Schizosaccharomyces pombe: one gene and its partners. The gene in region 1 interacts genetically with each later gene. Each region holds a gene or a part of one and is shown in the gene's direction. Other genes may lie near its edges. The genes, in order: shr3, ste6, msn5 and ung1.

Region 1 (6,490 bases):
ACCTACCCAACCCTTCTGAGGTCGAAAATATAGCTTTGAATGCAGCAGACTCAGAAAAGCCAGTATCCCTTGTTCCTAGCAGTGAGAAGCCGCTTGTCGCTCTTGCTTTCAAACTCGAGGAGGGAAGGTTTGGCCAGCTCACCTATTTGCGAATTTATCAAGGTACACTCAAGCGGGGTAATTACATTTACAATGTCAATTCTACAAAAAAAATAAAAGTTTCACGCCTCGTTCGTATGCATTCCAATGATATGGAAGAAATCGAAAAGGTTGAAGCTGGAGGGATTTGTGCGTTATTTGGTATCGAATGCGCTTCTGGAGACACCTTCACGGACGGTTCCGTATCGTATACTATGACTTCAATGTTTGTACCAGAACCCGTAATTTCACTTTCTTTAAAACCGAAGAGCAAAGATACAACCAGTTTTTCTAAGGCTTTGAATCGCTTTCAGCGTGAAGATCCCACTTTTCGTGTGCAGTTGGATAATGAATCGAAAGAAACCATCATTAGTGGTATGGGTGAACTTCATTTGGAAGTTTATGTCGAACGTATGCGTCGTGAGTACAAGGTTGACTGTGAAACGGGTAAACCAAGAGTTGCATTCCGGGAAACTCTTTCCAAAAAGGTACCTTTCAGCTACCTGCACAAAAAACAATCTGGTGGAGCCGGTCAATATGCAAAAGTAGAAGGGTACATTGAATACATGGATGGTGTGGAAGACGAATCTGGAAACGTTGTTGATTGTGAATTTATCAACAAAGTTACCGGTGGAACAGTCCCTACGCAGTATATTCCAGCTTGTGAAAAAGCTTTTTACGAAGCATTGAAAAAAGGATTTCTCATTGGTCATCCTATAAAAAATTGCAGGTTCGTTTTAGAAGATGGTGCTTATCATCCCGTTGATTCCTCTGAATTGGCATTTCGTTTAGCCACCATTTCTGCTTTCCGTACAGCTTTCTTGCAAGCGAACCCAATGGTTTTGGAACCAATTATGAACGTAAGCATAACGGCGCCTGTTGAACATCAAGGTGGTGTAATTGGTAATCTTGATAAGCGTAAGGCGACTATTGTCGATAGCGATACAGACGAAGATGAGTTTACGTTGCAGGCGGAGGTCCCTTTGAACAGCATGTTTTCTTATTCCTCGGATATACGAGCCTTGACTAAAGGCAAGGGTGAGTTTAGCATGGAGTTTCTCAAATATCTTCCAGCACCAAAATATGTGCAGAAGGAACTTGTTGACGCGTACAACAAACAACAACAAAAATAATTTTTGAAGTCCGTTTTAAATGAAGCAACAGCAAAGTTTTTGGTAACCAGTCATTTCTATTTAAAAAAAAAAATTTTGATCCACTCTCCTCTTTACTAACGCAGCAATCTACATGCAAATAAAAAAAATAAATACCCAGATTATTACCATACAAGTAATGTACAATTTTTTTTGTGCAAGATAGTTCATGGAACAGAGAATGAGTATATTAAAGAATATGAAGAGTAAATTATAGACCAACTTATAAAGGCTGAGCTCTTAACGGAGACATTTTGGCCAGAACATACATTTGAATTCCAATAACTTGTTTTCAAATAGTGCTTTTTTCTTTTTCCTTCTTTCTTTCCATATTTTTGTTATTGGTTTGGAAAAAAAAGGGAGTAGGAATAGGATGATAGATAATATGAATAGGAAAAAAGTATGACTTTCAATATAAAGGTAAGGACAGTGATAAAGCAAGCCCCCTTTATGGAGTCTATTACTGAATTTGATTTATGAATGAGTTCTAAGGATTATTGTATAAAATAGGAATTTTAGTTTCAAAGAAAGAAAAAGATAAGAAAACGTAAAACATCAGATGCAAGAAAGAAACAGGAAAAAAAGAATAAAGGCACATACGAACATCTTTTTTTAAAACAATTTATAGCACTCCAAGTTCTTTTTGGGCTTGAATACGCAATTCCTCATCAGCGGCTTCATACAGAATTTTTTCGGTTTGCCAACGTTGCGAAATAGAATCAATGTCCTTGGGAATATTATCAATTATGCTGTGAATTTTTTCGTTTTCAATTATTTCATTGCAAGTTTGGAATATAAACTGATTCCATCCAGGCTGCAATGAATTGGCAGTTTTGGCAATATCCATCAACTCCAATTCAGTTTCCTTTTCCAAACGACCAAACTTACGAATTAGCTCGTCACCAACGCCGCCGCGGTTGAGCAAATTATTCAATGCCATTCTCGATACTTTAAGCTTCATCAATCGACGAAGACCTTCTGTAGCCCGTAAAACGAGAGCAGCTTTCAAAAGTGTATCCTCGGCAGGTGGATTCTGCTGCAAAAGACTGAAAAATATATTTCTAGAATAATTTTCTCCAAACCATTCTTCTGATACTGGTTTTGATTCCTGATTTTTGGATTTTCGCACAAAACGAGAAACTCCATACATAGAGCCCATTAAAATGGTAATATATATCAAGGGAACGTAAATCGACACCATATTGAATTAATTAACACGGCCAAGTATGTAAAGCAAGCAGGGACCTTTTTCTTTAACAACTCGTATACCCTTTTTGTATTATTTGTTTTTTGCAGAGTGGACTGCAAATATGTATATGAGATATAACTTCGAGACCAAATGAATGCAAGACCAGTTTAGGTGTGAAAGGAGAATAGTGTGTTTTCTGGAATGCTTTATATTTTATAAGGTTGATGTAATTTTCTGTTATTTGTAGATAAGAGATATTTATGTTTTCTTAAAGACGCTAAAATATTTTACGCGATGCGCTATTAGATAAACAAATCGATCGGATATTGTTCAATTGTTTGTTTAAACTCAGGTAAAAGTTTTTAGAATTAGAAATGAAAAAAATTTACTAATAGGGAACTAGGATAATAAACAATTGAGCATTTTAGAAACAGATTTTGCGACCATTGTGAAAACTGACGAAACATATAGTTAGGAAGACAAAAACACCTCATTTATGAAATTATTTCTTTTTTTCAAGTATACAAAGGATCTTTGTATGTTCTTCTATATTGTTTCTGTAGTTTTATTAGTATTTTTACATATCGAGGCATTGGCATTCATTTGTTTTATTTACAGCCAATTAATAAATTCCCTTATTTTGATATAAGCTTTACAGTCTCGCTTAACTTGAAAACGCTATGATGTTGTGTATTCAGTTACAATAAATAGTGACATACAATAGTCGCTCAAATATATCTGGTTATATTTTATATTAAATAATTTTGCCAACTGATTTATCTTGGGTTGATTTTTCTTATTCGTGAGATTTAGATAGCCGTTCATGATGTTTTTCTGCATACAATGCATATTAGTGGAAAATGCGTTCGATTTCCTTATACTCATACAATCCTTTAGACCGTCGAAAGCGGAGTGGTATCACTTTGGTATAAAAAGGTAGTCTTAATTAACCTACCACTAACGTATATTTTCATTAACAAAAAAAAAGTTTATTATCATTATTCAAGATGGCTAAAAGATCCATATTTCGTTTTGCTGATGAAAAGGGCTTGAAGGTCGCTGCCCGTTATGGAGTCCTTATGTCAACTAGTTTTATTTTTGCTTTACTTTTCCACAGCGTATGTTCCAATCAAATTTCTATTTTATTCTAAGATTATTCATTTGAAAATCAACTTTCATTTGATATCAATTTCGTTTAGCTTTTGGAGACAAAGGGAGCAGAATATGAGAAATTATAAGTCGGTACTTTGAGTGAATTCTGAATTTGTTTTACAAAACATGCATTGTTAAAATAAATCTGGAAAATTATTTTATCAGGAACGTTTCTAAAAAGGAGCTTTTTGTCTGTTTAAGTTTTCATAATCGGATACGAGCATTCATCTTACCGCTCAATGTTTGCCGCGCTGCTCATTTTTCTGTTGTTCTTATGTTTTTGGAGCTTCACTTCGAATTGATTACTTTGTTCATAGTCTTTATTTTCTTAGCATAAATTACTAATGTCATTTAGAGCGTTGCCGATGTGAATACCTTATGGAGTCCTGGCCCTGAGTCTGCTTTCGATGCTGCTGAAACTTACTATACTTTGGTGGCTGGATCCCATTTCATTGTAAAATATACTGTATATACCATCATGGGACTTAATATGATTTTCCATCTTATTCAAGCCACTGGCGCTAAAGGTGATGACAAATTGTTCTTTTACTCTAGCACGCTTCTTTATCTTACTGCACTAATTTTGTTTATTGTTAATGTTGCTCCTTCTATGTTGGTTGTTAAGCTACAGAATTATGTTCAATTCCCACGAAATATGCACTTGTCCGTTCTTGCTGCTTCTCATGTTCTTGTTGAATTTCTTCTTGCTGGTGTCATTCTTATTCAACTTGGATACGTTTTCGGATATCATGTTCAAAGTATCCAGCAGCGCGAATACGCTGAAGATATGAGGGAGCAAGAATTAGCTGAAAAGGCTAAATTGGAATCCGAGTCTGCTACTACTCAGAGTGTAGAAACTGTTTCCACCGAATCTGTTTCAAAGCGCAAGTAAACAAACCACTTGGGTCTAATTTTACAACTTTTGGAATAGAGTGAACTATTTTATATCTTGCTAATTATTGTTGCTAGTCCGTCATCAACTCTTTGACGCAAAGTTTATGTCTAACTAGAAAGCAAAGAGTGACTTGCATTGACGGTAACTGGGAAAGCTTACATGTGTATTCATACGTACAATTATATATATACAAGATTTATACTGTCTTATATAAGAAATAAATTGACTTGAATTTTCGATAGAGGAATAGTTCGTTATGTTTGGATTTAGAATAGTCTTTAGCACACTTATACTTCTTAATAATTAAATATGTACTCATTGTGCAAAAAGGATTATCACAAGTGAAGCTTTTGTGAGATTGTATATTCTTCTATACTATGGATGCATAAACAAAGTCTCATTTTAGATGGGTTTTACGCTGCAGATACAGCAGAAGCGCCATACAAATATACTAAGTAAAATCTCAAAGTTCAAATGCTCAATCGATTTATTGTGCTAATTATCGATGTTTAATTCACTTTTTAACAACTAATAAATAGGTAACAATGTTACTTGTTCGTATAGCTTACTTGACTGCATAGCATCAGAATGATAATTGTAACTAGCTTCAGCGAATTTGGTAAGTTGGACTAGTTGGTTAGTTATTACCTTTTTTTTCTTTCTTCTGTGTTTCTCTAATCTCAACCCTACTGTAGACGGTAACTTTTTCAATTCATTCGTTCGGGTCATTTTTTGATCAAAATGTTGCAACTTTTCATTTATAGCCCAGGACTTGGGCAACCAACGATGGATCCTGGATGCTTAGCGGCATTAATTTATTGCGCACTTGCCGTCCCAAAGGACGAAATTGAAATTCTTCGCACTGCAAATTCAGGTATGAGCCCTACCCATAAGCTACCAGCTTTGTGGGATGGTCATGTTTGGATTGGATCTTTGAAAAACATTTTAATATACTTGAAACAGAAGGGCTATAATTTGGATAATTTTGATGCGAAACAGCTGGCCAATGTTATGGCCTTCACCAGTTTATTGGAAGGTTCCGTCAATGACCTTTGGTTATTAGAAGCCTTTGTTAATGAGGAAAATTTTGTTGAAGCAATAAGACCTGCTTGGTCAAAGGCACTTAAATTTCCTCATAATTATTTGACACCCAATGCTTTGCAACGGCAAGCAAAAGAACGCTTGGCTCAAACACTTGGTATTCGCGACGAAGAAGTCTCTTATGAAGCATCAAGGATGCCTATTTCTCATAAATGGACTAATGCTACTAGACATAGGCAAGCTCTACTGCGCACGCAAGCTCGTCGTATAAGAATTTCGTCATTAGCTCGGCAGGTATATGGTTCGCTTGAGTCCCTGATTTCAGATTCAAAATTTATATTCGGTGAAAAGCCAACATCTCTCGATTGTTTGTTTTACGCCTATTTATCTTTCCATGCTTTCACCAATGAGCTTCCTCAAGCAACTTTGCGACCATGTTTGCAATTCAACTCTCCCAAGCTTTATGCCTATCTCAAATCTTTACGCGAAACCTGGTTTTCCGATGATTCAAACATACTTTCTCCTTTATCGATTAAAGTTCAACCCGAAAATCTATTGACTATAGCTCGCCTTGCTTGGAACAATGTTACTGCCAAAGCAAATGATACAAGGAAATCAATTACTAAGTTTAGCGTCCCTCCCGAAAGGAAACTGCTGTGGGCGAGGAATGGATTCTTTATTTTTGCATCCGCTTTCAGCTTTGTATGGTTTGTCATCAGCAATGGTATAGTTGTCATTGAGACGGAAGATGATGAGGCTTCCTTTGAGGAAGTAGATGATGCTAAAGAAAGCATACAAGAAAAAGAAATTGATGAAACTACTGAATCAAAAGCGACCCATGACAGTTCAGAAACCTCATCAAGTAAAGAGTTACCTAAGGAAGAAGAAAAAGAGTCAAGTTCTTTTGATTTGCAACCTTTATCA
Region 2 (8,083 bases), on another chromosome or scaffold:
ACTTTGAGAAATAGATTTGAAATTTCTTAGAAATTTAAAAAAATAGAATGAACGTCAGTATTTTGTTTTCCTATGAGTAGTAAATATATAATAAAATGTAAATTAACCAAAGTAACTAAAACTAATAAAATTAACATTAACGCATGACCAATCCTTAAGGGACAAGATTATAAACAAATGCTTTTTTTTTTAAAAAATCCGTCTATTTTACTTTAAAAATTTTCAGCATCTTTTCTTGGTTTTCTTCTAAATTAGTGACAAAGGGCGATGCCAGATTATTAACGGACAAAGGTTCAACGTAACTGTTGGTAAGGTTTTTTGAAACTGTTAGGTTAGCAAGTAACAAAACTCAAAAAAGAATCGGCTTCCACATACGATGTCGTAAAGAAATTTCAGTTTTACAGCGAACTTGTAAAAGTGGTATAGCTTGCCATGTGGCCCTTTCACCTACTAGAATCCAATACTGGATGTCGCTTAATGAGGGCTTGGTAAATGCATGCTTTATGTCCGAGAAAGAAAATGTTGGAGTAAGCGTGATATACGCACTTGGAACATAATCGTCAACAAAAAATCGACGTAGTCTTGGAGGTAGAAGACCCAAAATATCCAGTTGGCGGAAACGGTAAGCCATTTCTAATCCTACTAAGCGTATCATTTTTAAGGAGTATCCTGAAACACGATGATGATGAAGTTCATCATAAAATGTAGGGAACAACGAAGGGCGAGACTGGGTAATAACAAAATGATTCACGTTGAAAATCTCAGAGATTCGTGCATAAGGATTAGAGCGACCGGTATTAGGAAGCCCAGCATACGGCCAAATAAAATTTTTGGGAGTACACACCTCGGTAGACCCATCGGGAAGTTTAGCCAAAAGAGGAGAAGAGCGGTAAATGGCAGCCCAGCTATTGCTAGAACATACGGCACTCCAGATCAGCACATTAGGGGCAGTGAAATAATTAAGAACCTGAGGGGATCCAGAAACAGCTGAAGGTGGAGCAACGATGTTAACAATACGTCCAGTACGCTCAAAAGCCTCTTGAAAGGTAATAGTACCGAGTCTTTGACGGACAAAAGATGCTATCATGGAAATGTCAAGCATATTCCCATACTCCACAACTTTTGAAAGAGAATAGTCAGATGTTTGCTGACATATTTTCCACAGTTCGCTGGGGAAAGTATCAAACAAACCATTCAATTCTTCATCACGATAGACACTCAAAAGCGATGCAATCAACGCACCTGATGCGCATCCTGCAAGGATTTGAGGAAGCAAATTACGTTTCCAAAGGGTCTTAGCTACCCCAAAGTGATATAGACCAAACGCAGTGCCGCCGTTGAAATACAAACAGGTAGTACCGAAGGAAATTCGGGCAGCGGAAAAAAAATCGCACTTAACGTCGTAGGAAAGCCTTTTAGTGTGATATAAAAACTCTAAACAATTGTTGACCTCACGTACATACTCTTCAATCAAAATTTTTGTACCCGAGTAATTCTCGGTATACAGAGAGGAATTGCCAATGTTGCCAAAGTTACGAAGTAAGCTAGAGCGCAAGAACATTAACATGGGATAGACAGATTTCCTCTGGCGGTATCGTTTTAAGGAGACCGTGCATCGATCAATCAATAGATAGTCGTACTTGTCCGAGGCAGGAGTAAAGCGCCATTTCCAACGCCCCGACGCCTTGTCAATCGTCGTAGCCAAAACTTTCCAATCCTCCCAAGAACGACAATCCTTGTTCATAACTACCTTTCCCTTTCGAGGGCCGGAACCACGCTGCTGCGATATCGACGTAGCGGAAAATAACCATTCAAAAAATGAAACCACCAGTAGCCAAATGGACGAAATATTCGCATACATAATGCGCCAGAAATTAAATAGTGCAGTCATATTAGGCAAACAATGGTAAATTCACAAATTACAATACAATTTCCAATCTTTTCTAATTTTACGTAACAAGTCTCAACAGGACCTATGGATAGAGTTATCCTTTAATTTTTGTAAGTTCCAACTAAAATCCGCTTCAAACACTTCATGAACTACTACAATATCTTTTATAATTGGAGAATTCCACCTAACAGCTCAATTCATAGAACTAGCTCAATTGAAGCTGGTTAATGGCAATTGGCACGATTACATCCGTGGGAAAAAACATTTGTTGAACTTGTCGGTGAATTCGGTGAACCCTATGTCATGGGCAGTTTATAGGTGGGCATGATGTGTATAGCGTATTAAATTGCCGTATTATATTGGTACTATAACGAAATAATTGCAATACACTATAATAAAGTGGAGTCGACTATCATGACATACGGTATTTAAATATAGCGATACATAAAATTTTTTTGCGTATTTTTACTGCCTAAAATGAATCGGTCAAGGATAGTCGCAAAAGCTTTTAAATTCACTGGTCTATTCCTTTAACAATAGTCATCAAGTTTGGATCAATAGAAAAGAATTCAACTTTTTTTTTTAGAAAAACGCTACCAGAAGGACAATCTGTTTTATTTTTCAGGAAGAACATTTTTCTTTCTGTATTTATTGAATAGCGAAGGATAGGGTTGAATAGTGAAAACAACGAAGTATTACTGTATTGCGGAATAGTCGCATACCCACAGGTTTTAGGTGAGTCCATTGTGAAAGTGATTGACAACATAGTCTAGTGAAATACTGTATGTAATATTACAGTTGCGTAGTGACAAAACGCGACGCGCCAAATTCACAGGTAATTTCTATTGTAGTAGCCCATTGTTAGTAAACAAAGAAATTCCCAAAATGGCTAATAATGGGAAAACAAGCTTTTTTTTTAAATAAACGGGTGTTTTCTTTATTTTAAAAGCAGGAAAATACTGAAATAACTTAAGAAGGTATATTTCCTCTTTTCTTTCAAAAATAAATGAATCGTGGAATTGATAGCATTCATGGACCCTTACGAAAATGAGGTTTCAAACGACCGCAATAAGTGATTATGAGAACAGCTCTAATCCTTCATTTTTAAAATTTTCTGCAGGAGACACTATCATAGTTATAGAAGTGCTCGAGGACGGTTGGTGCGACGGAATTTGCTCAGAAAAACGAGGTTGGTTCCCCACGTCGTGCATTGATTCTTCAAAAATTCAAAATTTTTTTTCAAGTTTTCATTCATCGAATGAGAAAGACCCAAATGCTCAATGTTGTGCGCCGTTTCACGTAGAGGCTCATCTTCAAGATTCTGCATGGTTTGAGAAACACGGAGTGCAAGCGATAAATAGTATCCCTTCTTCAGAAGAGTTCTTAAGAAAAAATCTTCAAAATGACATTCACCACCTTGTAAAAGGGATTCTCACCACCGCTGCCGCTGTGTCACAATCTATAAAAAAGGAAGGCACTCAAGTGATCGTTTTTGGAATTGAAACTGTTCGTAGTATGGTTCTTTCATTTCCCTTGATAATCCTTTCTACATTAGATGAAAATTTTCTCTCAGAAGTCGCGCAAGTGTTCTCCTCATTAAATTTATTGCCAGAGTTGAGCCGAATGGGTTGCACTTATGGTGAACTTTGCATCAGATTTACTAAGCTTTTGAAGCAATTGGCTAATAAGTTTTTGTTTTTCTTCAGGCCCGATGTTTCCTTCCCTTCTTACTTTTTGGGCTCTTTGATAGCGCATGAAATACATTTCTTGCCATGGGATTTTAATATGCTCTGTTCCAATTCTGTACAATCAGCACATACAAATCTCCAACCTGATATTACTTCCTTTGTTGCAATTTTGTCACTTTCACACGAAGCTTACCATTGCACTGAGAATGAATTTTGGAATTTAGAAGCACAGAAGCTAACTGAAAATACAACCCAAAAAGTACTACAGCTAGTTGCGGAAGATGCACTAGAAGCTTGGAAACTAGATATTCTAGAGGACATCGATAGATGCATTCAATGTTGTAGGCGATTCTTGTCTGCAAATCAAAGAATAAATTATTCTTCCTCTGAAAATAACCCTTTTTCTTTCACTTCTCAAGATGTTGAAGCCTTGAAGGATGAACTGTCTTCTAACTTATGTGATTTATATTTGTGGAGTATCGACTTGGAGCAAATCTCACCTAGCGATTGTTTACTGGACAATTATTCCCTTTTTGTTGATTTACTAGTAACCTTGAAAGTATCCCTTCTTCGGATCAAGTCAATAATTGTTCAATTTTCAGAAAGAATTGTGTTTCTTTCTCTAGAATACAAATTCCTCACAAATATCCAACCAGAATTGAATGATGCGGAGAAGTCCCAACTTGATGGTTTTGACCTCAATAAAACCAACTGGTTCGACTCTAAAGGATTAGTTTGTTATTTAATGAAACAGACTTCACCAGAGCCATTATTGATCCGAAACCTTTTGTTTTCATTTTGGTCATGTAATGGTAAAATTGAACAAGATGGAAAAATAAAAACAGCCACTTTAGTGTTCATTATAAATTACCTTCTAAGGACAGATATAGATAGTACATTTTTTACTACTATCTTTTTAAACACATACGCTAGTATGATCAGTTCTTCAGATTTATTTTCCATACTTGGAGCACATTTTCGGTTCATCTGCTCATTAAATTTTGGAAAAATTTCTTTTATTTCTCACGAATTTTACCGAGTTAGTAAGAGGTTTTTGGATATACTTCTTATTTGGTTCGAATCGTATCTTGTTGAAGAGTTGGACAATTCCAAGTCAATATTCTTTTTGTTTAAAATTTATAAAGTTTTTGAAGTCTTTGTAGTTCCACATTTTGCATCTGCTGAAGAATTATTGCATTCTTTATCACACCTACTTCATCATCCCTCTACAAAAAGATCACATAAAATGCTAGAGGGAAAAGAGCTATCCCAAGAATTAGAGGATCTTTCTCTCCATAATTCCCCTGATCCAATTATATATAAGGATGAATTGGTTTTACTTCTACCTCCTCGTGAAATTGCAAAGCAGTTATGTATCTTAGAGTTTCAATCATTTTCACACATATCAAGGATTCAGTTCCTAACTAAAATCTGGGACAATCTTAACAGATTCTCACCCAAAGAAAAAACTTCGACCTTTTATTTGTCGAATCATCTGGTTAACTTTGTGACCGAAACCATCGTGCAAGAAGAAGAACCTCGCAGACGTACCAATGTGCTAGCATATTTTATTCAGGTCTGTGATTATTTGAGAGAGCTTAACAATTTTGCTAGTTTATTTTCCATCATTTCTGCGTTAAATTCCTCACCCATTCATCGGCTGCGTAAGACATGGGCAAATTTGAATAGTAAAACATTGGCTAGTTTTGAGCTTCTAAACAATTTGACAGAGGCAAGGAAAAATTTCAGTAATTATAGAGATTGTCTGGAGAACTGTGTCTTGCCATGTGTCCCTTTCTTAGGTGTTTACTTCACTGATCTGACTTTCCTTAAAACTGGAAATAAAGATAACTTTCAAAACATGATCAATTTCGATAAGCGCACCAAAGTCACTAGAATTTTGAATGAGATAAAAAAGTTTCAATCTGTTGGGTACATGTTTAATCCCATCAACGAAGTTCAAGAGCTTCTTAATGAAGTTATATCGAGAGAGCGAAACACGAATAACATCTATCAAAGAAGTTTAACTGTAGAACCACGTGAATCTGAAGATCAAGCCTTACAACGCTTGCTAATTGATTCTGGCATTTTTTGAAGCGTGAACGTTAACAGTGATTTAAGTTTTTATGAGCTTGCTTCGAATTCCTTTAATATTTTCAAATCTTTTGTAGAACAATATAATCTTAAAATCATTTAATTCTGATATAGTCTGCCTCGTAAATTATCTTTCGTCCGTTTACCTCACACCTTAATATTCATAAGAAGAATGGACTGGAAAGAAGCGATTCCAGGTGCCGCCAAGGTAGCCATTGAAACCAAAGATTATATTACCTACTCAACGCTACTCGAATTGATATTGGAAGAAGCGCGAATAAAGGATATTGATGAGCAGCGAGAGTTGATTAAGTGTCTACATGAAGAATTGAAGCAAGAAAAGAATGTAAGTAAAAATATTCATGTAATTAAATATGAATTCTCCTAATAATGTTGCAATTAGGACCATATAACACGCGAAATTTCCTGGGACATTATAGGAATGGTGCTTCCATATGTTGGGAAAGTACAAAATGAGGCCGATGAGTTTGTGGACTTCTTAGCCAAAAACGGAAATCCAAGAGAGGTGTTCCTTAAATGTTGTGAACTTTTGATAAATGGAGGCTTTGAAAGTCCCCAACAATTCATATCTCTGAACAGTGCCATTTTATCAGCCTTACACCGTATATCTACAAAGCGACCAGTTCTATTTGTAAATAATTTTTTAATTTCATTGTTTTCGGGGTTAGCAAATATTTTGCAAATTGATAGCGATGAACTGTATTGTGTTTGGAAAATCTCAATATCATCTATACAAGATGCAATGCATCGCTTTCCAGTGTCAGAGTGTTATTTGGCATGTTTAAAGGCTTGCAGTATTTTAGCTCAACTCTTTTTAAGTAAAGAAACATTGATGCTTTCTTTCCGTTCGCTGCTTCAAACAAAAGATCAGTATGCAGAGTTTCGTGAAGAACTAAGTGGCGCTACGACTAATTGTGACAAGTTGGATACCCTTTCAAAATCCATAATAAACATCTTCGATTATCTTTTGTCCCATCTTCCAGAGAGCTGGAGTATCATTACTGAGCACATGGCTCAGGAGCTGACAAAAGCTACATATGTAAGTCAGTCATCCTCTATTTCCTCAGAAGACGAAGAAATAGCCAAAAATGCTGATGTTCCTGCTGAAGTTGATAACAATTCTACTAAGGCTGATGATAAGCGGGATGAAATTGAATTTGACACGAAAGGATGTCTTGCTTTATTAACAATTAAATCGTTCTATCAAAGCGGAAACTTCTTTCTGGATTTTTTGAAAGAAAAATTTCCCTCTACTATCCTTGAAACTTTGCAGCAATTGGTCTCTTGGGAGATTCAATTGGATAGTGTTGGTTTCAAAGATATTGCTGTGTATCAAGGATATTTGTTGGATTTACCTCATTTCCAGGTTCCCGACTCCGAACTCGAGCATCTCTCCAGTTTGCTCCATGGATATCATTTTATGGCTTCTTCGACAGAACTTCCTTGGCTGCGTGTTACATGCAATGCTATAGTCACAAAATGTCTGGATTCTCAGTTACCAAGTGTCCGTCTTTCCTACATACTTGATACTTTGGAAGAATGCCCACTGTTAAATATAAAAACTGCTATCCTAAATTATTATCAAAAACAGTGTTCTCTTGTAAAAGATAGTAATGAGGAAGGTTTAAAAAACTTTGTATCTCCCAATACCCTTCTGGATGTTTTCAAAGTGTTTGACGCTATGGAAGATGTTGAACTTGATTCTCAATCCCTATCGTACATTCACCAAACACTGGTGTTTCTCTATTCACTCGAGATTCAAAATTTGTTAAGTCAAAACCAATTTCCTACTGTATATTTCACTAAGATTTCCGACCAAATAAATAATTATGAGGGAGAGCTTCCTACAGACGGACTGAAGTATTATATTGAGCTTCTAAATTCTCGCAACAAATGAGGTTCAACAACAAAAATTAAAGTTTTCGTGAAAAAGTGTATGGAAGGAAGCATAAATGTTTCTTCTACTTCTCCCCTAACATATGCTCTAATCGTTTTACTTGAAATTGTATTTTTTAACATTTTACATATATTTTTGATTCAAATTCAGATGCTAAACCAATTAGTAAATCTACTGCTCTATTAAATTGGTCACACCAAACATACATTTCATTCAATAGCATCAGGGATCAAAGAAAGGTTATACTGGATTTCTCACTGCAATCATTGCTATATTCGTTACAGCCTTGCTGTAAAAAAGGTAGTTCCATATTTAGAAAAAAGATCGACATTTCATAAATTCAACAACTCATGACTGATTTTCATTTATTCTAAAAAAATAGGATTTTAATATTAGCTACAATTAAATCTAGAGTAAAAATCTAATAGATATATATAATTTGATGTTTTTCTAGTCTGTTATTATTCTGCTAGTAAACGCTAATCAGTAGGT
Region 3 (9,776 bases), on another chromosome or scaffold:
TCATTAAATTTATCATAATAGAGTGCTTAATTGTAAGTAATAATTTAACTTGAACCATATGCTTTAGGAGCTCCTTTTGTTCATTAAAACACTGATCAAACCCCGGCTCTACTAAGATGTCTAGTGTTTTCAAGGGTTCAGGTGCGCAATTCACCAGCATCTTAACTGAAAGACAAAATTTTTCTAAATAAATGTATTAGGAAAAAACGATAAAAAGGATCCTTCCAGCAGTGGGAAAAGTTTTCCAAATATTAACCGGAGAAGCGCAAAAAAAAGGGATTCGAATCGAAATCTGAATATCATAAAAAAAAAAAAAATCTTTTTCAACGAATCAAATATATAGAATCTAGTATATTTGTAGTGAGAAATAAAGACCCTAACTGTTTGTTTATCCCTTAATATGTTTGTTTACATTCCTTAGCATCTGCTTTGTTTACATCCGACGTAATATCACGACGTATTGACACATGTTACTTGGTGATATCATCTAAAAAAGTGCGAACGAAGCCTGATGATATTATGACGAAAGCAAAAAGGAAACTGGAAAAAGAATGACACGAAACACAACGTTAATATACTCTCGGCTATACACAGCACAATGTTGGAATACGTTGCGTACCACTATATGTCCCATTTTCGAATACTAAAATAAGCTTCGCTTATTGACACGTGCATAAGACTTCCGTCTAAACGAGGATGGCAGTGATATCACCTATTAGAAAAGAATACATATAGAGCTGCAACTGAACTGAGAAATGAAATTCAGTTTTAAGCTATTTCAACAAAAAGGCACATTCGCATCAACCTACAAAATAAAAGGAGAATCATATCCCAATAAATCAAATGATCTTATTTGGGTATCTTGTAGATAGAACTAATTCATCGATTATCCTTACACCATTTGAAATGTTAGGACAATTAGATATTTTAGTAATCGCAAGGTTCTATACCATTCCTTATACCTTCTTTATGCAGAAGTTTAAGAGATGCAGAGATGTACCTTCGCTACACTCGCATTGTGTAATGAGATTGAAAGTAGCAGTAGTGATTAGGAATTTGTAAGTCTACACATACTTGGGTTGAAAGAGACAGAGGCACAGAAGAGAAAAAAAAAATAAAAAACAAATTAGCCCAAACAACTGAACAATAGTAATTTAGAACCCTTTCTAATACGCAACTACATATTCGATAGCTTTGTTTTCTTGATAGATTTCGCTTCAATAAATCATTCGCATTGTTCTTTCTTCCTTATCTTCGACCCTTCGCTATTCTGTCCTGGCCAGGAAACGACTGTAAATTAACACCCAGGATTTAAAGACAAATTGGAATCATTTAAATCAATAAAACAAGCATAAGAAAATCATTCTCACAACTCGATATTTCACTACCTGCGAAGAAGAATATAAATGGAATTGTTTGTTATTAACAAGCTCGTCATATGATATAGTAATACAAGTAAGTAATTGCTTTGCACTTTTCTCTCAATCTTTTCTTTTCTTTTTTTTTTTTTTTTGTGTGATGTTATAGGAAAAAGAGAAAAAAAAAACAAAAACCAAAAAAGAAGTAAAATGAAATTCTATTATATGAATGAAATGAGGAAATAAATAAACATGACGATCAAACGCAGATCTCAAAAAGTTGCGTACTGTAGAGATATATTTTAGTTTCCTTCTTTCTTTTTTTCTTTATTAATGCATTCGTAAATTAAATAATGAATGATAATTAATTCATTTCAATTCGTAGGATTGGTTAGTGTCTTCCAGTCGAAAAAAAAGGAAGTAAAAATAAATTAGGGAACAGTTGCTGTTGAATCATCATAAATTTCTTTCTTAATTTACACATCAACAACATATTCCCATCTGCCTTCTGCCAAACCACGAGCCGTGTCGTCCAGAAGGACGTCGCGTCTACTACGAACATAAACTGTTTTATCAAGAACCCTTTGCTTAAAAACGCTAAGAGAACAATCTTGACAAGGACGTTCACATAGCTCACTAAGATTTTCAACAGCTAGCTCAAGATCGCGCTGATTGTCCTCGAATATCTCTGTTTGGTTATTTCTTGCAAGGTAATAGGCAAATGCATATGTCCATTTAAGGGTTTGTCTACATTGGAATAATATATCCACCGCATTCTTAAGGAACTGCACCTCTACCCAAGATAAATTGGAATCCACCTGCATTTGAGTCATACGTTTGTGTGTATGCTCATATAGCTCATGGTCCAATTTAGCCGATTGTTCATGATTGGCAAACCGATTGTAGTAATGTAAGTATCTTTCTAATGAGGCTCTAGATTTCGATTGCGAATCCCTAGCGCTTGTACTACTCTTCTCTTCATATCGATTGCATGTGTACCAGTTGTTCCCATGCTCAGTCCAAGGACCCAGACAAACCCAGCAAAATTCGTATTTGCATTTCTTACAAGTCATATGATTACAACCACCGTTTTTCTCAATAGTGGTAGAACATTTTGGGCATTCTTTCGTGTTGGCATGAATCCAGTTGGCCGTCTCAGAATCGTCTTGGCATTTCTGGAGCCATATTTTTACCAGTGGACATATTGTCGGTTGATGGTTGTCATGTCCACAGCCAAAACAGAACTGCTTGCCACAATTACAGGTTACTGTAGGCACCACCGAACTTAAACTAGCTTGTGTAACATGGCACTCGATAGCAAACTCACAATCCGGAGCTGGACACCATCTTAAATGATCATTATCGTCAACGAATGAGCGATCCAGAAGCCGATGATACCGGTCAAGTGACTTTTCGTCTAACACTTTTGTGATGGATTGAATGGATACAATTTGCGTACAGCTCTCTTCAGGGCATTGAATGACACTTTCACCTTCACTTATTCGGGAATCAAGATATTGTCTATAGCAAGCTAAACAAAATTCATGATCGCATTCAGCACTGAAAAATGGGAGACAACCTTCATCGTAACAAATCTCACAAGTCCCTTCATGGTGAACAACTTCCCGCTGTTTAGAACCACTAAGTCCCACACCTGCTTTTTGAAGGGATTCCTCTGGAGCATCAATATACCTCTCTAGCAGTCTTTCGCGGTTCCATTTGAAATATCGATATAACCCTAGCACTTGCTCTCTCGTCAAATCAATGATACTAGTAAGTTGATTAATCTTCTCATTTAGAGAGGCCCTAAGATCGCGAACGCTGACCACTCTATAGCTCACGCTGTGAGCTCTCCGCCGTTTCCTCTCTACAGTGAACCCATCATCATCGATTTCTGCATCTTCATCAAATTCATCCTCGAATTCAGAAGCATCCAAAAGATCGTTTTCAAATTCTTCCTCATAAAATTCATCGTCCAATAGGTCAGACATCTTAGCTTTAGTTATTCACCGAAATTTATTTAACCGATATTCAAGAAAGGTATACAATGAATGCTTGTCTATCAGCAAAACCACTTGTTTTTTTGCCGAATTGCCTTATATAAGCAAAAAACCTACAAATAATCCGAGCAGGAAAGTAATTGTTTAAACCGCAAACGAGATGCCACAGCAGATGGAATCCACTCAAACAAAACAAACGAGTAAATCGTGAAATCTTTAGTAAAGCTTGTCGTGAAATGGCCACCTGTAACAAGACTGAAAAATAAGAGCCAGATGTATGCAAAAGGTAAAATACTTCGGCTTTGGCCTTTATGAAATGAGCAAGACAATTGCCCTCCTGCTTTCCAAATCAAAAATGTTTTAACGAAGTGTACGGGAGATGGATGCTGCTGCATTCAAAGAATATTAGAAATTTAGCCTCCATCTGCAATACCAAGTGGGGGTTGAAACGAGAAAAGAAAGTTGACTATGTATATAACACACTGCAATGTATCGTTATCGATGAATGGCAGGCTAAACACATGCGGTGTATGCTGGCTTGATTGTTTCTTGAAACACCCAACACGCAGTTACGATCTTGCTTCGTTTCAAGATTATTATTAAGGAAAATTCATTATTTATTACCTAAGTATTGGAATACTTGTGATTACTTGATTATCTTTGTAAATTTCTTTGCATCACAAAGGAGTCCTGAAGTAAACAGTTTTTGAGTTTCAGTGACTCGATTTCAATAAACTGGTTTTGATGGATGAAAAAGGTTTATCAAATATTTTACAAGCTCTGAATGTGGTGCATTCGCCTGAAAGCTCGCGAGAAACTCGGTTCTCTGCCCAGCAGGTAAGTCGCGATGAGTCATAATGGAGATAGCCATGGTGCTTTGCGGAAACGGTCCATGAATATTTGCTAATTATCGTTTTTAGTTACTAGATGAACTTAAAGATTCGTACAGCAGTCCATCGGTCGCCATTCAACTCTTAGAGTTGAATGAGCAGGCTTTTTCCTCACTCGGCTGTAAACTTGACATTCATATAGTACAACATTTCTCTCTTAGTCTTTTTGAAACGAGTGTTGGAATGAATTGGAAAAGTTTCTCGAATAAGGAAAAGGAATCTGTCACTAGCTTTTTATGTAAAATATCACTCGAAGACAATAACCTGCTGTCCGTACATTTTGTGCGTAGTAAACTCGCCTCCGTATTTATTGAAATTGCAAAACGAGACTGGTATAACACATGGAGAGAAGAATTTGACTCCTTTCTACAATCACTTTGGTCTTTAAGCCTTCAGCATCGTCAACTATCTTCCCTCATCTTGCGTGGTATAATGGAAGACTTGTATCAGTATGATGATCCCGTTGCATCCTTACGCTCTCATATTCTTTTTAATGCGCTTATCAGCATCCTATCCTCTTCTTCCACCCTGCACAAATTATATCCTTCAGGTCTTCCTTATTCCGTTACTATCCCTTCTAACAATGAGGGTTGGCTTATCCGGTGGGGCAACGCTTTAGAAAGTCAAGATGATGCTTTAGAATGCTTAAAGTGTTTCAAAAGCTGCCTGTCCTGGGTAGCTACTGATTCCATTCGAGAGGCAAACATCGTTTCACATATTTGTCAAATTTTAGTCCAAGGGCCAATCTTTTTAAAAACACACGCTATTGATTGCATTTATATTTGTGTAACCAGAACCATGGAAATTGATGATCCTCTGTGGGAAATAGTCGAAGAAATGCTGTCCCCATCTAGTCTCTATACCCTCCATCAAGTTTACACTGCCACATCTGAATCAATAAATATTAAAACACTTTCATCTACAACTCCCGAATATATTCTTTTAAAAAAACTGTCTGAGACCATAGTTGCTTTGGGCCAATACAATTACCTTGACTCTAATCGACGGAAATGTATTAAACTCACATCCCTGGACACTTATTCCTTACTAGTATTGGAAATCATGAAACATCCTAGTTTATTAATCAGTGCTATATCTCAACACTTTTGGGTTTTAGCATTGAGGGATCCCATTATTTCCAAACATGAAAAATTTCAAATCGTTTACCCTGAGTTGTTAAGTATTGCCTCCGAGAGGTTACTTCGTTTTGAGGATGCAGTTGTTGAACTCATACCGGAGTCTGCTACTGCTAAATACCTTCAAGAGGATGTGGAAGGTGTTTCTGCTGTGCATTCGTTTTGCGGTAACTTTCGTAGGTTTATGTTTGACATTGTTAGATTAACCGTATCCATCACTCCCATCGAGTCCTTAAACTGGATTCAAAATCGTTTTCAGTCAACTGTTCTTGGCAATATGGAAGATATTCAATCCCAGACTGAATTTTTTTCAAAGACCAGTCCTCTTTATCTTACAATGGATGTTGGATTTTCAACGATAGAAGCGTTTTTGCACGGCGTTACTCGTTGGAACGAAAACACTTCTGATGATCCCGCTACTTATGAAATAATTTTACAAAATCTGTTTTTGTGGTGCAAACAGCTTGTTGAAATTAACTTCAAAGACCCTATGCTGATTACTCGTTTGATCAGTGTCTTAGTGTTATTTACATCCATTCTTGCAAGAGAAAATACTACCCTGCTTGGTGTTGTCCTTGAAAAAATTATATCTGCTGTCACATACGATAACACTTCCGCATCGTATGGATTTTCCGATGTTCAAAAAATTAATGAGATGCGGAGTAGATGCTGCTTTGAGCTTGTGAGACTAGGAGAACTAATGCCGAACCCTTTGATGAATATCTTTGATCAGTTGCAATCTATCATCGATCAATTGGACAATGCTACAACATTAACGGGCTCTGAAATTGTAATGTTAAAAACATTTCTGTTTGTAATAACTCAATTTTCTGATGTCAATATTGAAGTCAAAAATGAATATTTTGAAAAATTAGTTGGACCGGTTGTCAAGACTTGGCTTGATGTTCAGCCACCTGTTAACAGTCCAATGGAGTTTTTGAATCACATTGGGTTTCCTCAAATGGCTGAATACTTATCAGCAAAGTATCCTTACAATGCTGATTACACACAGTTTGAACTGGATGCTGATGCTGCTTCATATCAATCAAATCTTGAAACTGGCCGTAAATGGTTATGGCCGATTAAATGTTTGGGGAGATTTTGTGAAGCCACCTGTAGTAATAAACACATACATCCATCTGAATTTGAAGGGCAAAAGAACCTATGGCAAGTTATCTTGCCAAATGTTGTTCCAAATTTGTTAAAATTAGTTGAACAGTTGCATTGTTGTTATGAGCCTTCATTTATAAGTGGTCTAGGAATGCACAATTCTTCGATACTTCAAAAAAGTATTGTTGAAAGATTTTGGTTGCATGGTGTAAGTCAAATTTCTAAAAATCAATTTTTGGAAGAGTCCTACAAGATGGACGTCTCAGCTAACAAGTTAATACATTCGTTCGGTCATTTTTTAAGGCGTTTAAGGGAATACTGTTATTATGCTATAGCTTCATTTATGCGTCTAGGTCAAGCATTTTTTTGTGTACCCGGATTGTCTAAGCAGTTTTTGACAGCTTTCTTTTCTCATGCAGCTGGGTTAAGTTTACATCAATGGACGTCTATGGTGAATGTTGTAATCAAACCGTATTGCGTTAATTGTCCTGCAGAACTTCGCGATGAATGTCTTTTACCTTTACTGCCAGCTTTGCTGTCCGAATTAGATCACAAACTAGTTAGTGAGTGGCGGCGGATTAACGATCGCGGATTACTTGTTGAAGAAGATGCTGAGGAGACAGGAGAGGATGATGATTTGTCAGAGGAGATGATTGAAGAGTCCTTGCTTCGTCATCTAACTTATGCTACCGCAAAATTGATTACCGAAACATTTTTACAAATCACTCCTACCCAATCTCGGTCCAATGTTTCTTCAAGCTTAATAGGAAAAGAGACTGTTGAAGGTCCTGTAAAGCTTTCCGAATATGTATTGGATAACGCTATCATTTGCGAACCATTATTATGCACATTATGCCATTTATTGGTGATTCATGACTCTCGGACTGTGGGGTTGGTAGTAAATGCGTTTTTGGCGATTACTCCACTCTTAGTATCTGAGCAGGCTCATTCATTAGTACGAGAGTTTATCTGCCAACAGGTGTTTCAATCAGTCATTCTAGCTATCCATGATCCTTACTTTGAGTCAATGCAGTCAGATTTTATTCGATTAGCTTGTATTATTTTGTCATACTCGCAAGGAATTACTGATTCAGCGTTTCAGTTGCTGGCTAGTATTCCGGCCCTTGCCAATCAAGAAAATTTGGTTCCAGCATTTTTCAACAAATTCCGTGAAGCCTCCACGCTAAAAATTCAAAAAGCTTTGCTTACGAGACTTCTTAATTCCGGTCGAATTGTACCGAGAACTGACCGTAGAGCTGTCAATGCCGCCATCCTTGATGTAAGCGCCAAAGAAATGCTGAAAAGGTTTGAAAAAAGTGTTAGCTTGCAAGACGAGCAAAAAAATGATGTACTCTCAAGAGACGAAGATACGGGGTTGGCCAATCTCTTTGAATAAAAGATAAAATCAAGGAATGGCAAGCATTCAAAGATTGTTGTTTTTTTTACGCGAACACATTAATTTGATATCACGACTTCTCATTCAGAGTAGTCGTTTTACTCAGTTCAATAAATTCCTAGCTTTATTTCTTTTAGTACTGTAAATCAGCAGCATTAGCATTGCTTGGAAATGAGTTACTGGTTAACTATTCGCACATATGGTCATTTTATGGAATTAACCGATCCAGCATTTTTGAAGTTGTGGAATGATTTTTTAAATTTATCATTATGACTTTATATTTAACGTTTAATGCTTACATTTCTTAGATTTTAAAAAAGGGTGAAAAAATAGATGTCCTTTATCTCTTTGCAAAGGGAAAGAGATGATTAGTCTTTTATATTTACTATTGTTAATGATGTATATAATGGCATGCATGTGTTTATTGACATCTATCAATGTAGAAGCTGGGCAATTTTATATAAGCCAATATACGATGCTTTTTTTTTTAATTGCTTGTTATTTAATAAACACTCATTTCTTTCTATGTAATTTTCGGCTAAAACGCCTGTATTTATAATGGGACCTTTGGGGTTGTTGGAAATCTTAATTTGACTGTTTTGAATTTTAGCTATTTTGTTTACATTGCTCAGTCTTTATCAATACCACACCAACCCCAACATCCGGAGGTTTCACTAATACGAGATATCATTAGAAAATCCCCTTAGAAGTATTTAATATATACAATATTATTAATAGACTTGACTATTTCGTTTAGTGTAGACTTTCTTTCCAACACCCAAGGTTGTGACCCCAATTTGCGTGCTCTAAGGTTTACTTACTATTATAATATAGTTTCGACCTAACAAGGTTCCCCATCATCGTATATCTCAAGAAGCTACATATCGCAAACGAAGCCTTTTATAAAAAGCTGATTGAAGTTTTTTATAAGGCTGTTTTAATGCGGCTCTCATTTCTTCGTTTTCAGAGCAACTATCTGGTGTTTTGACATCAATCCCATACATGCATCAAAAATGACGAAGAAAAATGCCTTTAAAAATTCAGAAGACATGAAGAAATATCATTTAAGCGAGTTTAATTCGGAGGCAACATCGCTTACTAGACCCTCTCCAAAAAGTAAGAAGGCTGTGGACGACGATCACGGAGAGTTGAGCAGATTCACTAACAAAGTTAGGTTTACAACACGTTCCTTGTAAGTTCTTTAGGCAAGGAACTTGTACAAGTGGAAAAAACTGTATATTTAGTCACGATTTAGAATTGGCGACAGAGAAAACTATTTGTAAATACTTCCAAAAAGGAAACTGTAAATTTGGTTCTAAATGCGCGTTGGAACATGTTTTACCTGATGGAAGAAAAGTAAAGACAAGAGCCTTTGCCCCATCTACTACAGCTATGGGCTCAAGCTCTCAAAACATATCTGCTGCTCCTATGGCTAACATCATTTCCAACAATGACAAAATATTGCCAATGACTACTATGGCATCAGCCACAGCTTCAGAAGAAAAAAATCGAATAAAAGATGAAGCTTTAGTAATTAAAAAGGAAGAATCCAACGTAGCTATTCCATCGGAGGTGACTGTTGCTGCCAATGCGTTCTCCGCTTCTACAGAAGACGTATATTCTATTGTGGGGGATAGTCTCTCAAAGAAAGCATCTGTTAAGGATTTCAGTGATGTGACTGGCATAGAAACCATTCCTGCCTATGTTGAGGCAACTAATGGAAGTTCCACGGTACGTTCACCACATGCAAAGCGTAGCCTCAGCTCCATATCTGTTAAAAGCTCTACTTCTCCATTTTCTGGAAGCAAATTTCTATCTAGTTCTTCCTATCCGCATACGCCAGAGGCACATCTTAACTCCAATCACATCTCACCCGCCTCATTTGG
Region 4 (6,375 bases), on another chromosome or scaffold:
AAATATCGAACACAACGTAATAAGGGCTGTAGGATGAATGAGAGGAAGAATCTTCAAAAATGCTTCTTAAACTTCCGTATGGGATCACTGTTTCCAACACTGGATCCCATGTAACCATTTCTCCATCAAGAATAATTTGTGAAATACGTTTGTCAAATGCTCCAATGATGTATTGTGTCAGCCTAGATTGTTCATCGAAATAACTAGAGCCATAGGCATAAGTGTACGACCTGGCATTTCGACTATAGAATTGGAATTTTCCTGAACTCATGTGTAATTGAATACGCTCCCCGTCTAGCTTTTCTTCAATCCAAAACGGTTTATTTCCCATGGCTTCCAGCGTTTGATGGAGATCCTTTTTTTTGAAATTGGCTAGCTGAGGCTGGAAGCAACTAAAGACTTCCACATCTGTTTCAGTTTCATCAAGAGACCGACTAGGATCATAGAGCTCCCAACAAATTCTCTTTAAGGAGCTACACAGTCGATATAATCGAGCTGCATCAGGATGGAACACAGAAAGTATGAATTTTTCCGATGTTCCGTATTTTCGAACTAAAGAAATAAAAAAGTTAGGTCATAAATAAAGAAATATCATTTCCAACCAACCTTTCAGTAAAATGGGAATTAGCCATCGAAGCTCAAGAGGACTCAAGGATCTATAAAATTGCTCCAAAATATTAACTCGGGTATCCCTTATTAAGGTTAGATACGGTAAAAAATTTAGAACATACTCAGAAGAAGCATCTGCTAATTGATCCAGCAGGGCGTTGACATCACCAACTGTAAAGGCACCAGGAAAGGTCCTGTATGCCCTTCTTTGTAAAATATCTAAATTTTTTTCAGTTAAAATATGATCAGGATCAATTGGAATACAAAAACTATGATGAACACACCCTGCAACATGGTAGAAAAATCTCCAGTATGTTTGGACTCGGATCCTCTCCAATTTTTCAAAGATTTTGCATCTTCAGAAGTAGGACTCAAATGCATAGCCTTGTTAATTAGTCACTGATGTTGCAACTTAATTACTTACTCGAATAAACAGTTTTCCAAGCCCAAATTCCTTGAACCCATATGATCCTCTTTCACGATCCAACTAGAAAATTAGCAATTAGAAATTCAAGACACCGATTAAGACACTTTATGTAATGCGATTTAGTGGTCTAACAATTTTAAGTCGTACATCAGGAAGCACTCCATTAGTTAGTATAAGGAATAAAATACAAATATTAAATTACTTAGTCGAAGTAATGGATAAAGATCTGGTCCTACATGTTGTCGCCATTTATTAAAGTAATCCAAGAGGATTTTGCGCTTTAATTCATAAGGGTCAAGGTTTGATGTTTTGGATTTCCTAGTCTTTCCAATTCTTGATAACGGTTCCAATAATGTTGTAACAAAATCATAGAATTCAAGGGTGCTTGAATGATTTTGAGGTTTCGTAAATACCGTCTCTTTGGCTTCGTCCATATCTTAGGTTTTGGCTTGAAGCAATCGTTTTATAATACAGTTTATGATCAATAATATTTCTCAAATAAATAACCGATAAGAAATAAACATCAATTTAGTCTCATTATCGTGGTAGTGTCAAGTGTGTAGTACGAACACTTCTAATTATCATACATGAAAGCCTGTTCTCTGCAACGATTCGGTGGACAGTATGTTTATGGAGCAGAGAGCTGTTTTCTAATAAGTTAGGTAAAATGACTGTTCTGAATACTACAGATAAGCGTAAAGCTGATGATACCGTTAATAAACTTGACGGGAAATTAAAGCAGCCACGTTTGGATAATTTTTTTAAGACAAACACCTCATCGCCTGCTTTAAAGGATACTCAGGTACTTGATAATAAAGAGAACAACTCTGTCTCAAAGTTCAATAAAGAAAAATGGGCAGAAAATCTTACTCCTGCTCAAAGAAAGCTGTTACAGTAAGTATTGCTTACAATGTAGGCTAGAAAATTGGAAAAGGTTGTTAACCTATTTAGACTAGAAATTGATACTTTGGAGAGTTCTTGGTTTGATGCGTTAAAAGATGAATTTTTAAAGCCATATTTTTTGAATCTGAAAGAGTTTTTGATGAAGGAATGGCAAAGCCAACGTGTATTCCCGCCGAAAGAAGATATCTACTCATGGTCACATCATACTCCACTTCATAAAACCAAGGTCATTCTCTTAGGACAAGATCCTTACCATAACATTGGTCAAGCCCATGGTCTTTGCTTTTCCGTACGTCCAGGAATTCCATGTCCACCAAGTTTGGTCAACATATATAAAGCCATCAAGATCGATTATCCTGATTTTGTTATTCCGAAAACAGGGTACGTTAAAATTATTTAGTCTTTATATTTTTTCTTTCTAAGATTTGGCTTTTTGCTAATGAAGCAGGTATTTAGTTCCTTGGGCTGACCAAGGCATTTTAATGCTCAACGCTAGTTTAACTGTAAGAGCCCATCAAGCTGCTTCTCATTCTGGCAAGGGTTGGGAAACTTTCACTTCTGCTGTCCTGCAAGTTGCGTTGAATCGGAATCGCAAGGGTCTTGTAATTTTAGCATGGGGAACTCCAGCAGCTAAGCGACTTCAAGGTCTTCCTTTGAAAGCACACTATGTACTTAGAAGTGTCCATCCTAGCCCTCTCTCTGCACATCGTGGCTTTTTTGAATGCCACCATTTCAAGAAAACCAATGAGTGGCTCGAAGAGCAGTATGGACCTGAAAAATGCATCAATTGGAGCGCTGTTTCTGAACAAAAAGCAAAAATAAAGTCTAGCGAGTTGGAATCCTCTTCAACTGAGTAGAAAAAGTCAGAAAATAATTGCTCGTTTACTGGATGCTAATAGGTCTAATCAAGCTTTTTATTTTCTTTTGTCATGCTTGCTTTATTATACCACTTGCATGCTTATCTTTATTCTACCTACAATTGGACTTGCTTAATGTGTGTTATTTTTCTATGTCTTTCTTTTCGCAGAGGATTTATTTTTTTTTTGTCTTAACATTTAAATCATTCATTTTAAAGTTTAATATTTATGTCAAATCCATCGTAAACGGCACATTTATTAAAGACTTAATGTAATCAGTGGTAATTTGATTCGTTAGAATAACTCAGTAATTTTCTGGCTTCGATTGAAGTTCGGACAGCAGTTTGGATGCTTCTTAGTTTCCCAATACGTCCTTTTTCTTTTGCCCTGAGATAGTCCAATTCTCTTTTTAATACTTCTGTATCCTGCCTTGCCTTGGCCACCATTTCGTTTGCTTCAGTGAACAGTGAAACCGATAAATCTTCCATTTCTTTCTGACTTTGCTCAAGCAATCCTTCCAACTCTTCTCTTCGTTGAACCTCTCTCGAAAGTTGTTCCTTCAAATGGGTTATTGCTAAAGTATTGGCATTGTTTAATTGTTTATTCGTGCTTTCTTTTAAAGCATTTTCATTCGAATTTTCCTTGTTAGAGATAGAGCTAAAAAGCTTTGAAATTTCTACATGTTAGAAAAAATTGTTTTATATTGTATTGTCATGTTGTCCCTTACGAGAATTGCTCATCATTGTTTCAATTTTTTTTCCTTTCCTATAAAATACTAATTGCTAACTTTTTTTTCAAAAGTACAGTGGTTTAAAGTTGTTTGCTTAGAGAAAATGTCATTTGTTGACACAGTACATATGGCTGTTAACCGTAATATAAATGACAACAAACAGGAGAAAGACTTCGTTAATGTTGAAGAATCATCCGTTTATTATTTTTATCAGTTTGCTTTGTTTCTTTTTTATTTATATTTTTTTGCGTGAATTTTATGAGCAATACATTCAATATACAATTTATGGAACATTGAATCAATTTCACTGAAGAAATAAATTTATTTTATCAATTTCATACAAAAATTTTTTTTACCCAATACAGGAAAGAATTAAGTGAGCCTCATTTCGTTTTTTACAACAAAAATTATCGAACAATAAACGAAAGAAACAAAATGTAACAATTTCTCGGTCCTTGATTTCAAATCAAGATACTTGAGCTATAAAGATGCTTTGAATTTATTATCATATTCTATATGAGCTTCAAGCATATACTTACAATTACAGAGTGCAATTCCTCATTTCATTTTCATGTCCACTGCTATTGTAACCTGCCAAAGTGTAAACAAAACATTCATTCGGGTAGGGTAGGGTTAAAATTGTAAACGAAACACTAATCTAACTAACGAGAGCTTAAAAAAATTGCTGCGAACAATAATAAATAGAAGAGGGTATAAAAACTTACAAGACAATTTTGAACCCTTGAATGCTATAAGTAACGAAAAGAAATAATGGAGGTAAAAATTAATATTTCAAAGGAAATTCGGAAATAACCTTTTCGACGGTCAACATTTAGATTGAGGAGAAGGTTTTTGACATTCACTATCGATGCCATTTCAACTGGTAAGCGCTAAAAACAAGGGTTTACGCAAAATTCTTTTTGTACCTGTGATAAATATTGTATTTCTATTGTAATAGCCAATTTTTTCATCCTATGTATCATGGAAATGTCCGGCGTAATAAACTTACAACCGCGCTGTTCCTAATTTTGTTTCATTGCTACAAAAATTAATCAAAGAAAAAAAATAAACATCCCCAAGCTTCGTAAATTTAGATTTATCGTTTCATTTGCTTGTACCAACAAGCATTCTGGCATTTGCATTATTCATTATGAAATTAATAGTGTATGCAGTGCGAATAACTAAGATAAAAAAAATTAAGAAGAAAAAAAATTAAATTAAATGATCAATTTGTAAGTTTTTCTGTTTTTTGCCATGTACAATCGCATATATTGTTTGTGCACCTTTTTTAAGTTCCTCAACTCTCATATTATTGCGTAGTACAATATTCATCGTTAAAAGAAATTCTCATGATGCGTTACCCTTCCTAGACTATTTCTTTTGTAGCAGCAGCATAAATTTACTCGCTACCAACTACTTTGTATAAAAAGCTTCTTTCTTCCAGTCGTTCTTTCTTTTCAGAAGTTCATAGAAGTAAATGGCTGGAAATAAAAGAAAGAGGAGCAATGCCTCCGAAGGCTCGGATTCCCAAGGGAATGAGAGAATTTCTTCTTTGAGTGCTAACGAGGCAACTCAAGATTTCCCTCGAGGTGGGGCGTCTTCATTGACTCCTTTAGAGTATAAAGAAGCTGTTTTAGAGGCTAAGAAGGACTTTATGGAGTCCGCTTCTGGTACCGCTGAATTGAGTAAAAAAACTCGTCCTAAGAAAAAGGGTAGTAAAAAATCTTCCAAATCCGAATTGGACAACGAAGAAAATTTGAAGGTTCATATTCAAAGCTTAAGATATAAAAATATCACACCCGGCTCTTTAATTTTAGGTCAAATTGCTCAAATAAATACGTTGGACTTGGCCGTCTCATTACCAAACTGTTTGACAGGTTATGTACCTATCACAAATATCTCCGATAAGCTTTCTGATCGTCTGGATAGTATTGACAATCATGCAGAAGATAATGCAGCAACTGAAGAGGAAGACGGTCTTAATCAAATACCGGATTTGATGGATTTGTACAAAGTTGGTCAATGGGTGCGTGTTTCTGTTACAGCCCTTGGCTCGGAAAATACTACAAAAACCGGAAAAAGACACATCGAGCTAAGTCTTAAGCCGCAAGATGCGAACGGTTCTGCTCCTGAGGCTGCGGATTTTGTTGCTGGGTCGATGATACAGGCCGTGGTTTCAAGTATTGAAGATCATGGTATTGTTTTTGATATTGGTATTAATAATTATACTGGTTTTTTATCCAAAAAACACATAAATGATTTCCCTTTTGTTGAAGGCCAAAGTTTATTGTGTTCCGTTATTTCAAAAGAAGATCGAATTTTCCATCTTTCTCTCACTGCGACATCCACTAAGGCGCTTGAGGTTATGCCTTCTGTACAAGCTATTCTTCCTGGTGACTATATAAATGTTTTGGTAACGGACATCAAGGAAAGCGGAGTTATTGCAAAATATATGGGTGTAGTAGATGTCACTAGTGATATTTATCATTCTTCTCCCGTGAAAGGGGAAGATTTAGAAGATAAATTCCAGCTTGCTAAATCTGTTCCTGCTCGCGTTCTTTTTGTGATTCCCGGTGATCCCCCTAAAATTGCAGTATCTTTCTTACCTCACGTGCTTACCTTCAACTTCGCAACTCCCAATACTCCACATCCCGATCAACTAGATATTGGTTTTATCGTCAATGCTGCTAAGGTTACGTATGTATCCTCCTCACTTGGCGTTTTTTGCGATGTTGGTGTACCTGAGATATCCGGATTTGCTCACATTTCACGCCTTTCCGATAAAAAGGTTGCTGGAATTAGTCCCAATTCTGGCCCCTATAAAGTTGATAGCACCCACGAGGCTCGAA

The links.
Region 2: mutations in shr3 (region 1) and ste6 together harm fitness more than expected from each alone (negative genetic interaction), as found in Schizosaccharomyces pombe (one large-scale study listed by BioGRID).
Region 3: mutations in shr3 (region 1) and msn5 together harm fitness more than expected from each alone (negative genetic interaction), as found in Schizosaccharomyces pombe (one large-scale study listed by BioGRID).
Region 4: mutations in shr3 (region 1) and ung1 together harm fitness less than expected from each alone (positive genetic interaction), as found in Schizosaccharomyces pombe (one large-scale study listed by BioGRID).

What each region holds. Positions count from the first base shown.
Region 1 is NC_003423.3:1,172,861-1,179,350, reverse strand, and holds shr3 (chaperone protein Shr3), read left to right. Parts: upstream 1-3,437; 5' UTR 3,438-3,485; coding exon 3,486-3,596; intron 3,597-3,985; coding exon 3,986-4,522; 3' UTR 4,523-4,871; downstream 4,872-6,490. Other genes in the region: mef1 (mitochondrial translation elongation factor G), read left to right, coding at 1-1,271; translocation subcomplex subunit Sec66, read right to left, coding at 1,912-2,490; mtx1 (metaxin 1), read left to right, coding at 5,267-6,490. UniProt on the Schizosaccharomyces pombe protein: Involved in amino acid permease processing and required for the efficient translocation of structurally related amino acid permeases from the endoplasmic reticulum to the plasma membrane.
Region 2 is NC_003421.2:1,763,148-1,771,230, forward strand, and holds ste6 (RasGEF Ste6), read left to right. Parts: upstream 1-2,938; coding exon 2,939-5,674; 3' UTR 5,675-5,824; downstream 5,825-8,083. Other genes in the region: triacylglycerol lipase Ptl1, read right to left, coding at 203-324, 376-1,891; ubiquitin-protein transferase inhibitor Glm2, read left to right, coding at 5,846-6,019, 6,077-7,591.
Region 3 is NC_003424.3:3,469,134-3,478,909, reverse strand, and holds msn5 (karyopherin), read left to right. Parts: upstream 1-3,909; 5' UTR 3,910-4,102; coding exon 4,103-4,195; intron 4,196-4,278; coding exon 4,279-7,890; 3' UTR 7,891-8,397; downstream 8,398-9,776. Other genes in the region: dbl4 (ubiquitin-protein ligase ), read right to left, coding at 1,835-3,349; zinc finger protein Cps3 , read left to right, coding at 8,904-9,006, 9,065-9,776.
Region 4 is NC_003421.2:601,334-607,708, forward strand, and holds ung1 (uracil DNA N-glycosylase Ung1), read left to right. Parts: upstream 1-1,640; 5' UTR 1,641-1,703; coding exon 1,704-1,930; intron 1,931-1,987; coding exon 1,988-2,320; intron 2,321-2,387; coding exon 2,388-2,796; 3' UTR 2,797-3,071; downstream 3,072-6,375. Other genes in the region: DNA repair ligase Lig4, read right to left, coding at 1-552, 607-692, 732-828, 894-993, 1,034-1,096, 1,184-1,194, 1,239-1,470; protein Spo13, read right to left, coding at 3,072-3,472, 3,524-3,539; U3 snoRNP-associated protein Rrp5, read left to right, coding at 5,004-6,375. UniProt on the Schizosaccharomyces pombe protein: Excises uracil residues from the DNA which can arise as a result of misincorporation of dUMP residues by DNA polymerase or due to deamination of cytosine.